2 linked regions of the Neodiprion lecontei genome follow. The protein of the gene in region 1 interacts with the protein of each later gene in a biochemical or structural test. Links are inferred from orthologs where the notes say so. Each region holds a gene or a part of one and is shown on either strand. Other genes may lie near its edges. The genes, in order: DNA topoisomerase I, mitochondrial; E3 ubiquitin-protein ligase Topors.

What was found.
Region 2: of the proteins of DNA topoisomerase I, mitochondrial (region 1) and E3 ubiquitin-protein ligase Topors, one has a biochemical effect on the other in vitro, tested with the Homo sapiens proteins (2 studies listed by BioGRID). The link is inferred for Neodiprion lecontei from reciprocal best matches to the Homo sapiens genes TOP1 and TOPORS.

Annotation. Positions count from the first base shown.
Region 1 is NC_060261.1:35,201,182-35,206,394, reverse strand, and holds the start of DNA topoisomerase I, mitochondrial, read right to left. Parts: upstream 3,156-5,213; 5' UTR 3,032-3,155; coding exon 2,990-3,031; intron 2,682-2,989; coding exon 2,636-2,681; intron 2,114-2,635; coding exon 1,914-2,113; intron 1,829-1,913; coding exon 1,408-1,828; intron 1,284-1,407; coding exon 1,129-1,283; intron 966-1,128; coding exon 768-965; intron 560-767; coding exon 512-559; intron 1-511. Other genes in the region: mRNA cap guanine-N7 methyltransferase, read right to left, coding at 4,122-4,201, 4,283-4,488, 4,552-4,764, 4,859-5,040, 5,099-5,213. UniProt on the Homo sapiens protein: Releases the supercoiling and torsional tension of DNA introduced during the DNA replication and transcription by transiently cleaving and rejoining one strand of the DNA duplex.
Region 2 is NC_060260.1:41,194,271-41,201,256, reverse strand, and holds E3 ubiquitin-protein ligase Topors, read right to left. Parts: upstream 5,328-6,986; 5' UTR 5,165-5,327; intron 5,076-5,164; exon of another isoform or gene 4,974-5,075; intron 4,772-4,973; 5' UTR 4,724-4,771; coding exon 4,287-4,723; intron 4,036-4,286; coding exon 3,808-4,035; intron 3,578-3,807; coding exon 3,303-3,577; intron 2,856-3,302; coding exon 2,697-2,855; intron 2,536-2,696; coding exon 2,322-2,535; intron 2,218-2,321; coding exon 975-2,217; 3' UTR 718-974; downstream 1-717. Other genes in the region: probable dimethyladenosine transferase, read left to right, coding at 36-78. UniProt on the Homo sapiens protein: Functions as an E3 ubiquitin-protein ligase and as an E3 SUMO1-protein ligase. Probable tumor suppressor involved in cell growth, cell proliferation and apoptosis that regulates p53/TP53 stability through ubiquitin-dependent degradation.

The sequences.
Region 1 (5,213 bases):
GCCCAACTGATCAAGATCTTTGTCTCGAGATGACATAAGATTAGTATGTTAGAATATACTGCTGCCAGCAACCAATGTTTTTGGGATAGGGAAGAATTCGCGAGAATATTGTAAGGGGAATTCTAGGTTAGAAAACGAAATTCCCACGCTATTATTAAGATTCTGAATTAAATTTCTATTATTTAAAAAATCCAGTTCGTGAATTTAGGTTAGATTGAACAGCCTTTGAATCGAAAATTCAAAACATTCCCGGTAAACCTATCACGAAGCAAAAAAAATTTAGTCAAACAGATGTCAAGCAGATTGGCAAACAAAAAAATAAATAATTGACAAGACGGAGCAGCATCAAACTGGACGAACAAAAAAAAAAAATGAATTATCAGTTCAGTGTTATCTAGTTATTGAAATATTGAGGAAAGAACACGTCTATCAAATCCTCTATATTTAATACCAAGAATAAAACACACAGAAATGTACAACAACGAACAACGTGCCATGCCTGACGACGTACCGCCAAGGATGGTTTGTTCCGGTTGCCAGAGTGAAGGCCATCTTTCCACTGAAAACACCAAGTCTATTGAAAATCTTGGAAGAGGCCAAACTACTGTCACTTTGTGTTAATTAATACATAACCCTGATTAAGTTGATTGAAACGTTTGAAACTTAGTGATATTACTGACAAATTTATATTGTCTAAATACCGAAGTGCTGAAATTGTAACGATGTATTAAAATTGAAACTGGATAGCATATGATATAAATATTTACCAGAGGCACATCCTCTTCAGACTCCTCCTCAGTTTTAATAGTAGTGTTGTGGAGATCAGAAAGTCTTGTGTCATTAGCATCTGTGGAATCCATAGTTGCATCTTTGTTCCACTCTTCCTCACCGTCATCCTCCTCTTTAATGTAAAGAGTCTGCTCCCCGCCGCTATCGTCATCGACATCATCATCATCATCAAACGTCTGCGTGAACAATGATGAAAATGCATAATTATTTAAAATTTTTTCAATAAAATGTGTGAGTCATAAACCATCGATAAACTCTGGTTTTATAAAAAAAAACTTTACGCGTAGATAAAAAAAATCAATAGCACCAATTATTACAAAAACATTGAATAACAGCTACCTCTTTTACCTGATGCTTGACAGGGTCAACTTGATACTGGTAATCTTGGTTCACCACTGGTTCTATCTTAGGCACCAACTCAGGCTCAGTTTTTGGTTCCACTTTAACTTTTGTCTCATCTTTGCTTTTATCTTTTTTCTCATCTCTGTGTTTAGCTGAAAATTTATTGTCAACTTGTGAGAACTAGGAGCAAAGAAAAGGTAAGTGTGACCATGCAAAAAAGGATTCAACAACATGTAAAACGTAAAATTACAAACTACTAATTTCATAACTCTTTACATCTTTCTTTGTCTTGGCGACGACGATCCTTGTCTTTATCTTTATCCTTGTCCTTATCGTGGCGATGTTTGTCTTTATCTGATGATCGATGCTTGTCCTTTTCAGTAGTTGAATGTGACGAACTATGCCTATCCTTGTCTTTATCAGAAGAATGCTTTCTATCTTTGTCCTTATCCTTTGAAGATGTTTTATCCTTGTCGCGAGAGCTAGAACTTGAGCTCGACTTGTGCTTCTCCTTCTCTCGCGAACTTTCCTTGTCCTTAGAACTGGAACTTGATTTGTGATGGTCCCTGTCCTTGTCTTTGCTTGAAGTTGAACTACTTTTATGATCTTTATCGCGGCTCGATGAAGAACTACTTTTCTTTTCTTTTTCTGACTCCTTAATTTTGTCTTTGTCCCTGCTGCTATGCTTGTCTTTATCCTGAAATTTTCAAGTCACACATCAATATTTGCAATGACGCGGTACCAAAGTATGTGAAAATCTAGGGAAAAAAAATAATACCAACCTTGGAGGAACTCGAACTGTGCTTATGCCGATCCTTGTCCCTATGTTCGCTTTTGTGACTACGTTCTTTGTCCTTGTCCTTACTTCTATCTTTATCTTTGTGCTCGGATTTCTGTGGGCGCTCTTTATCCTTGTCCCTATGCTCAGATTTGTGCTCTTTTTTGAGGTCATACCCATTGGACATGCCATTTAAATGGGAATCTAACAGTGAAGAAAAAACACACTGAAGCAATGTTTTGATAAGAGTCTGGTATTGGTTTATCGTAGGAACCAGAGTGGAACAAGATATGGTATATGCGATGCATACTATTGTTTTAGGATATGACCATAACTTGACAATAGCTTTAAATTAGAATGAAGACATCAATGTCAATGGGGCAGAGTTTATTTAAAGTGAAATACTTATGAGAAATAAGGGTACTGGTAAACAGAAAGAGCCAAGGAACAAAGAATCCTGTATTTCTCGATAATAGCCGAAACTATCGACAGGTTTTCGCATACGTAAAAAAGGAGGGAGGGGGAGTTCCTGCAACCGGGATACCCGTTACACGTAAGTACGGGAGATTTACGGACGAGCAGAGGTGATGCACGCGACGAACGAACGCGGCGTAGACATATGATGGAGTGTGCTATGAGATTCTAGTTGAGGGAACAGGAGTGCGGGGAAGGGGTATCGCAGCCAGGTAGAGGGTAGCAAAGGGGTGAGAGGATCGGGAATCTTACCTCCATGATTCCCGGCCGCACTGCTGTTCTCCTTGGCTCGTTTCTCCTGAAATTGAAACTGAATGAGATAATCAGAATACTTCATGAGCTTAGGAACGTTTGCAGTACGGAACAGGCCAAGCTGCGGGCCGACGAACGTTCGAAATAGCAACGTAAGGTCCGTAGATTGCTCGCAACATCTTGTGACATCGTGCTACGTGGGGACTTAGCCGCAGACGCCATTTTGGGACTTAGAAAAATTCGCGTCTCTCGTCGAGGTTGTCAAGAGAAAACCGACCCAACGGTCAATATATCGGAAAATCCGAGCACCTACGACGGTTCAAGAGATTGGAAACGAGGATGGTAGACACTTACCGGGTTGGATATTGGCTGGGAGGTGGCCTGATCGAGATCCATTAGTAACGTGCGACCGCAACAGATAAACGACACCAGACGACACTACGCGCAATGCTCTCGCTAAGAGCTCTGGGAGACAGACCGGACGAACGGCCGGGATGAACCTGGCAGCGTCTAAGTGCCCGAAACGCAAAACTGCGCATGCGCTTCTCGAAGCACACCGGATGAGTTCGGCAAACCTCGGTGGTACTCGGCCGAGTGCCAATGCCCTCGATTCAACTCCACTCGCCACGGGACATGGGCCGTTTCGCCTTTTCTTCTTCTTACTTTTATTTTTGTTTCTCCCCTTTGAGTTGTCTCTCCTCTACCTGGACTCTGCTCGCTGCCTTCCGGGCAAATGAGTGGATTTTATTAGGAACGGTTGGAACTTTTTTCGGATGCTAGTAGTTTCATGCAAGCGTTTCCTAGGCAAATTCATCAGCCGAATTTTTAATGCTTATTATATTAGTCGATAATCTGTTCAAAATTTAAAAGAAAATAGTTGTTACCGGCCGCGCCAATCTCTCACACTTGCATAGGTGAAAAATTATTCAACTTACCACGCATTAATACAATAATACCTTTAATTGGTATTCATTGAAATAAGTCATTGATGGTACAGCTAGATTATTATAAGTGTATAGAATTTTGTTCACTCAATAAATAAACAACGTGCTGGAGCTTTTTCTTATTGTATGAAAAATTTATTATTTTTAAGCCGCGATATTTCATTATATCTATATAATTTCGGGATTTTATTACAGATTAGAAACGATCAGATCAGGTATTGGCAAACAATAACGTTCTTCTGTCACTTGATTGTGAAAAAAATTCAAAAAAATTGAGAAATTTAGTTGATGATATCTAAATTTATAAATTATGTGGTTATAAGAGTATGATGAACAATTGGTTAGCTAGGCTTGTTCTGAGCCTTCTTCCCAAGTTATATGTCTATGCTTCTTCCCAGTACGGGCCAATTAGACAAAAACATTGTAAACCTTGGAATATTACATTTCGTTGCCTATAGATATTTAAATATAATAAAATAATTCCTATTGTGTCGCGTAGACAGTAAACCCCGCGAAATATAGGTATACCTACATATTTATCTTCAAACTTTAAAGTACTCAGGTTTTCCCTCTGCATTCCACGTTGTTTTCATCTTTTGAAAAGCAAATACGGCATACAAAGCTGTAATATAAGATAAGAATTTTAAGATGATAAATTAAATTTTTATTGTATACATAAATTGACTATGTTAAAGTCACTCACATGTCGCTTCCCATTCTGGTAGTGAAAGAGTGCCAATTTTTCTGTGTCCAGTTGAATTCTGCATATACTGTGCTGCATACCGATAGTCTTCGGGATTCTGACCGAGAAGAGGAGCTTCGTGACAAGGAGGATACGTCTCGAGAGCTCGCATTTTGCCAAGCAACGACCTTCCCTCACTTTTCATTCTTTCGTAAAAGTTCTCAAATCTGTACAGAAGAAGCATATTAATGTTAGCTTCGATGTCTCTTTGAATGAGATATATTTCTTACCTTTCAAACATAACAAGCTCCAAACCATATTTTAAAGCTAGTTTTGCGAGAGTTGGTAGATGTACAAGAAATTCTGGACAGTTGACAACCTCTTCCAAATGAAAGTTGTACTTGGCTCCAAACAATGGAGGTTTTACTTTGTCTTCGCATAGAAACTCTACACTGTATATGTCATTTCCAAACTTGTTGGTATCACTCTTTTGCCACCGAGATCTGTGCATAGACATAGACGAAAAATGAAGTATCAGCAATGTACAGCCTTCATTTCTGAAGAATCGATTTGTACACTTGTACTTCTGTTACATACACGAGGTCGTAGGCATCAGGTATAGTGCCAATAAAATATCCTCCCGGCCTCAGGCTTTCGCCTGCATTCCTGAGCATGCACTCAGCCTGCTGTACTGACTCAAAGCTGTAGTGGAATGCAAACTGACAGCTCACTAGATCGAGCTGACAGCTGGCATCCTTGTATTTTTCCCTCAGTCTAACCTGATATAACAAGTTTTTATCAGTCAATAACTAGGAAAAAGAATTTACGTGAACGAACCTTTGTGCAGTCGGCGGAAATGAATTCTGCAGTAAAGACTGGTGCGAATCCTCGATTGTTAGAACTTCTGTTCAAAAGATCATTGTAGCGACTCTGGCATTGCTCCACGGACACC
Region 2 (6,986 bases), on another chromosome or scaffold:
ATAAATATGTATGATCACAATTTTATTTGTTTCAGCCTTCTGCATGCGTTCAACACGGAAGGCATTCATTTTTCCTAACCGAATCTGTGCAGATTAATGCAAGTAAGGCGGTTGTATTGTGTGTAGACTTAAAAAAAAACTTATGTACAATATGAAAGTAAATATAAAATTAAACAAAATTTTGAAGGCTTTTGATTTTATCCTTCAAGAGAATGCGTTTCTGTTTGTATAATTCTGTCTCGTCGCCGCACGTCATCGATTAATAAAGCAGGGAGCTTATCACTTTTGTATCACTTAGAAAAATAGAAGTATTGAATATTGCCATTACTTATACTCAATATTACTAACGTACGTTTACGAAATTACGACAGTTTAAACGCATGGTTTACTACTGAACTTTAAGGCCACGGATCACTAACAGGCCAAAACTGACAATGAATTCGGGAAGGCTCGAAAAAACAGGAATAAAATTAATTAGAAAAGTTGCTCCGACGTACTAAAAGTGTGCTCAAACATATTTCAAATAGGACTTTGAAATAGTGTGAGAAATTTTTTTGACGTATCGAAAATTTAACGTACATTTTTTTATGATTCACGGAATTCTTTCATTCAATTCTGAGCAAAAAAATGATTCAATTCGAAAACGTGTTATCGTTGTATTTTTTTTTTTTTTCGTCCGTATTTACTGCATAAAAAAGAAGAGGGTGGGGGGGGGGCCTTTAATAAAAATAGAACATAGGTGTAAGAAACGTTCAATTACTCTCGTGAATTGTGTATTCTATGATCACCCTTCAATCAATTATTTCCATAACGTATATCTATGAATTATGCAGGTCCTATTTTTGCTAGCGCACGCTAGCGTTGGGAATTATTATCAACAAGATATTTCATCTAGACATGATTTGTGAGAGTTAAATCTTGCCGCGCACGAACAGAGAACTGAACGTTAATGAACAAATTTGTTAATACATGTTTTATTCCGAGTCAGAGCTGGAGGACGATCTAATACGGCGTTTCTTTTTCTTGGACCTTGATTTAGATTCGCTCTTAGATCGTTTATGAGACTTTCTGGATTCCTTGTATTTTTTGTGGGATCTACGTCTCTCCTTAGAACTCGAACGTTTTTTAGAACTGGCATATCTAGATGAAAGAAGTGTGTCACTTCTAATGGATGAAGTTACAGATGCCGTTGAAACACTTGGTGTGCAATTGTCATCGGCCTGGAATGAATCTGTGACAGTAGCAGCAACAGTCTTGCTGTCGGATTTGCGACTTCCCTTTTCTTTTCGTCTATCCTTGTGTTTTGATTTTTTCTTACCAACATATGCTTTACTCGACCGTGCGCTGCAATAGCTACTTGAGCGACCATTCAACACATTCCTCTCAGAATCTGTCGTGCTGTAGTCGACTTTAAAATTAGCTTCTGTTAGTTTTTTACTTGACATCCCATTGTCTTCAAAAGAATTATATTCGTCGCTTTCACGCTTCTTTACTTCTCGCTCGGAATCTGAATCCTTGATCGAACGATATCTCTTCGATCCACATTTCTTGTTTCTACAAGATCTATGTTTGGGAATACTGGTGCTTCGTTGAGAGGCATCGCTTTCTGCACAATTTTCACTGCACCATTCTTCCTTTTTAACTAAGTCTTTACGAACTGTTATCATATTGGATATTGCCGATTTCATTAATTTGGATTTACCTTTTGTTTCCTGACGTTTTTTGTGCCGGTCTGGACTAGAATCATTCCAACTTGAAGAATATTCTCTCTTGTCACTTTCTGGTGATATTGACACGGGTTTGAACATTCCATCTATGATCCGGCCTTCAGATTCGCTGCTACTTGAAATCAATGCTTTAACACGACGCTTTATTCGAACAAACATATTCGTACCCCGCTTGTACTTTTGACCATGTACAGGACTTGTGGCAATGATTGACTTCTTTGTTTTGTTCTTTGATCCGTTACCGCTGTAGGGAGTATAATCCCGATTAGAATCGATATCATCACTCTCCGACGTCGTTGTGTCAGAAAATCGTTTTAAGGATGCCAGAGTATTTTGAGTTGAGCTTCTTTTCCTATCCGTAGAAGTCGTAGCCTCGTTAACTTCGCTTAAGGTTGATACACTCGGCGAATCAAAAGGAGACCGATCTATACAATCTTCAAATGGTGGACATTGTTTTGTCACAACTTGACAGTTATGTCTAGTATGCTCGCTAAAAAATTGTATCAATGATCAGCGAGGCAGATATTCAGCATTAAGAAAATGGAAATTTCATATAAAATTCTAAGCAATTGGCGTAAGAGACACAAGACTCACCTATAGTCTAAATTGGGAGCATCAGGCACATTCACTGTGTCAGCATCCGATGATAATAGATCGATAACTTCTGGTGTTCTTTCATGCCGAGGCTTCACATACCCCACAACTTCACATTCATTATCTGATATTCCTGATGAGCTTGACGAAATTGTCAATACAATATTAGAAGTTTGTGCAGTTTCTCGGAGTGCTTCGGCTACTGTACTTGGACCTTGAGAGAGAGGAAATGCAAGATTAGAGTAAAGTATTACATGAAATCACAAAATATATGCAAGCATGGGCAAGGAAAAAATGTATTATTATTGAGTTTCCCAAAGACTGTGTTAGTCAAGGGTAGATACTTATGTATGTACTTAGTATTAGACTACATACCAGGCATCTCGACTGTATGCGGACCTATTCCGAGCATCTCAATATTCATCCGACTTGCATCGATAGTTTCTTCAACAACTTGAACATCTGAATCAGTAGATATGCTGCTGCTACTAGAACTGGGTGATGATACGACAGGGACATATTCGTTGGACAAACCTGCGACACATATGACATATGAGGATGTCCAAAATCAATTCAGGTATTTCCACAACTATTCTCCGACGAAAATTGTATACAATTTGACCTCATCGGTTATTCTGTTCGCCAAGTTAAATTCTGATACGGAAGTCCAAATGGCCATTATTATTCAAAATAATTTTACACCTTGATATTCACCGAAAGACGTGAAAGACTATAATCCAGTGACCAAAGAGATGTTTTCCATAGCTACAGATATGTAGCGGATTTTAAAGTCCAACAAAAAGCTACATCAATTGGGTAAGAATGCGACAGTAAAATTGTTCAGTTGAAAATCTTTTTAGTTATGTGACTATAGAATGTATAAATTTTGTTGGAAGAAGAGATAGAATTTGAATGGTATGAACCGGTGACATTAATTGGCGGACAATTTTGCAACATGCAACCTTAATCAAATATACTAACCACGATTTGAAACATAGGTAACATATTGATCATAACCAATCAAGTCAAAACTGGTCTGCGCGTAGTTGAGTAGCTCATGGACAAAGTGCTCGGTGTGCATGGCAAAGTAGGGACGAACTGTGTCTCGAAAGTCGGAACTTCTCAAGTCATGCCGTGTGATAGATTCCATGATAACACGCATCACGTAACTTATTTGCGGAGCATTGTTGTTAAGCAATACTTGCAGTTCGCGATTCAGCCAAGGAATCAATCGATTCAATTGGTTTGGGTTTCGCCTGTAAAATAGATCAATACAACACATGTCTTAGTATCCTGGTAAACATTGAAATTTAATAAAATTCCAAAACTAAGTATTTTGGACTTTGTATCTAAATAATTAAAATAATCTTCAGATTTGAAGTCATGGAAATAAATGGTAGGAAAAAGTAGGAATTCAAAATTGAAACTGTAATAATTCATTTTAAATAATACAAGTAAAATGCGAAACATAAGCAGTGTAACTTACCGATAGTATTCAGCACTGCATTCCCTAAAGTTTCCAAATATGTCTGGTAGAGATGTCGCCCAATGTCCAAAACGATACACATTGCGCCGATAGTCAATAGGATTAGTACGTCGCAGTCTTCGTTCCTCTCTAGTAACTAGTGACGTAACAGCAGGTAGTTGTTCATTCCTCATAACTTGTTCGGGATTTAAGATATTTCGGTATCGATGATTAGGTGTCATTGTTGTACTAAAACAGAAGGTTGTCAATAAAAACGATTTCTAGCATTCAAATAAATACGTTCTTGAACGACATGTAAATAGTTTTCTAGCGGGAACCAGGCCTTATTGTTTTGGCAGCATATCATATCCATATTAAATATATTGTAGGAACATGAAGTTTTTTCTGTGCAGAACGCTTGATTGTGATTTCAAAATTATTAGCTGCCATTGCCAGTAACCGACAACCAAGAATGAAGAATCTCTCTTTAGCTAACTTACCGGTAACTAAATCCATGTGTTTCCCTCGGCAGGTTTATACTGCTGACCAGATCAAAATGAACATCCACTGTTGCAGCCATTTGTGACGCAGACAGTGAGACAAACTGACGGGGAACATGATATTGATCATAGTCGCCCTCGGATCTAACATTATGTATGATGGATTTGAAAGTTTGTTTACACAGAGGGCATTCTGTTTTTATTTTCGACCACTCTAACAAGCAGCTGAAACAAAACTGATGCAAGCAGCTGTCGGTGAAAGATTTGTTGACGAGCTTGCCCAAGCAAATGCTGCAATTAGGTGGAGGAGACGTGGTGCCGTCACTTCGCTCGCTTGGTTCATTGTCTGGGCTACTTGGAGATATTTCTTCCGTCTTTAGCGGACCCTTTGGAATAGCAGCGGCGGCCGCACGTATGCTTTCTATTTCTTCATCCATTTTGCGTCAATTCTTTTCGTGGTCCATTGGTCCTTGCATTACCTTTTCCTGTATTATGCACACAATTAAAGATATTATGACCCAAGTGTGGATAGGTCCAGCAATAAATTACTTGATTTGAAAAATACGCAGTACTGGATGATGGAAATGCAAATATCTACAGATATTGTTTACGATTACTCTCTTTATACTGTAATGTACAAAGGGTATTGTATACAGCACAGTTGATACTATACGCGTAACTGCCTACTTATATCAATACAGGCAGAATCTTTTGGATTCCGAGGCAGAGAATATAAATATTCAAAGCCGTAATTAAATCCACGAAAATTTCAACTCCCAATCAAGCTGCCCTTGAGTAGTAGCTTTGACTGAGGAAAAGTTAAGTGATTAAAACTGTGGAATAGCCGAAAGGTAACGCATCACATGACATCCGCTCACCGTTAAAATGTTGCCTACCACCGAAGGAAATGCGACAAGTTACGTTGACAATTAAAACTACAATCAGTAGCAGAGATATGAAAGGGCTCAACGCAGGCACCGACTGCCATCATCGGCTAATTTGATCATAAAGCTCGCAGCTGTACCAAGGGCGTTAACTGGTTATTACTAACCAGCCAACCATCCGTGCTCCAGCTGCACTGCCAGTCGTGGTCACATGATTCGTGTGGAATTGAACTCGTATTTTGTTTCAGACCGAAACAAGATAGCCGAAAGATTAAAGCATTTATGCATTTCACTGTATTCATATTTACATACATGCATGCCGATAAAGCAATATGTCAACCGTTTAATTAAAAACAATGCAAACAATGGACTTTTAAGAATTCCCATGATTTAAGGAATTCCCTAAATCTAGTGGATTCTTCATACTTCAGTCCTCACATCATGATAGTCAACCGATTTGAAGTTCGATGGAAACGCAGTATTAACATTCGATCGTGAGCACCGTGAGCACGGTCAGCCCCACGGTCTTACATACAGGTCTGGAAACTCCATTGGAGGGGGTATGTCGCTTATTGAAGCAATTTCTGTGTTCACTAGTCGCCACTAGGTTCGTTGCGATCTTATCAACAGCGTTGGCGGGGCCGGGGGTCCAGACAAGGCCGTGGTATTCGCATATATGTATATGAGTATTCGCTCACTCACGCTCACTCATCGTATTTATTGAGATTATTGTTATCCTGGTAACTAGACCGCAGCGACAATTGGTGGTGCCGCTAGAATCGAAATTTGCACTCGTTAAGCGACACGAATAATCGTGGCTCCCAGCATAGGAGTTTCCAGACCTGTATATAAAACCGTGGTCAGCCCCTTGACACTCACCGCTGCTCGTATACTAAAAAATTGTACGCGTTTTTTCCCTATTTTTTAGTTCCTCTATATTTAGATAGATATAGATATATACCGATAAAATAATCTGCGCATCGAAGTTTTTGACAGTTCATAACTCAGTGTAAAGTGTGTAAACGGTGGATCATCTCCACAAGATCTAAAACTGTCTCAAAAGTTGTGAGCCCTCGCTTGATGTTTATGGATTTTATTGACTTAAACATTTGAGGATTTCGTTAAAATAAAACAATTATCACGCCCGCCATGGAATGCTAGTAAACATCTCAATCATTTTTTATTCGCATCTTTCTTCATTTTTGAGTGTTATTCAGGATTGTCGATTCCGAAAAAATTGGCTCACCCCGAGGGGGCAGCGCTGCAGACGGCGAAGACGAGAACCACGGTTTTGCCTCATTATCTGAGTCATTCCCCCACCCTACTAGCAGAGATGAGTAGGGAGATCTCCAACGCTCGGCTTTTCGTGATACCAGCTAAGTTGGAGCGTCGACGTGACACCTAGGCGGCCACGCACCGAAGGTGGCCCATTTCCGACCTGACATCAAGCGGCCATGCACCGAAGGTGGCCCACAATCGTGTATATATAGATACACTCGGCTGCTCGAGCAAGTGGTTGCCAATCGCATCCTTGTCCCCGCTCGCACAGATGTTTCCAGGAATGCAAGAATTGGGATTTTTTTTGTTTCAGTTATGAATGTCAGCGAATAAAAGTATCTCCAGATTTGATAAATCTTGGAATCAATTAGCGGACGCTGAACCAAATTAGTTAACTATTCCCAGTCCGAATACTTTTTTTTTTTTTTTTAATACATATTATTTTTTTATTGATATGAAAATATGTGACGCCTGGTATTCTCGAATATTTGTGCACGCAGTCTATGGAAAAATATACGAAGCCAGCTCGATAACATTT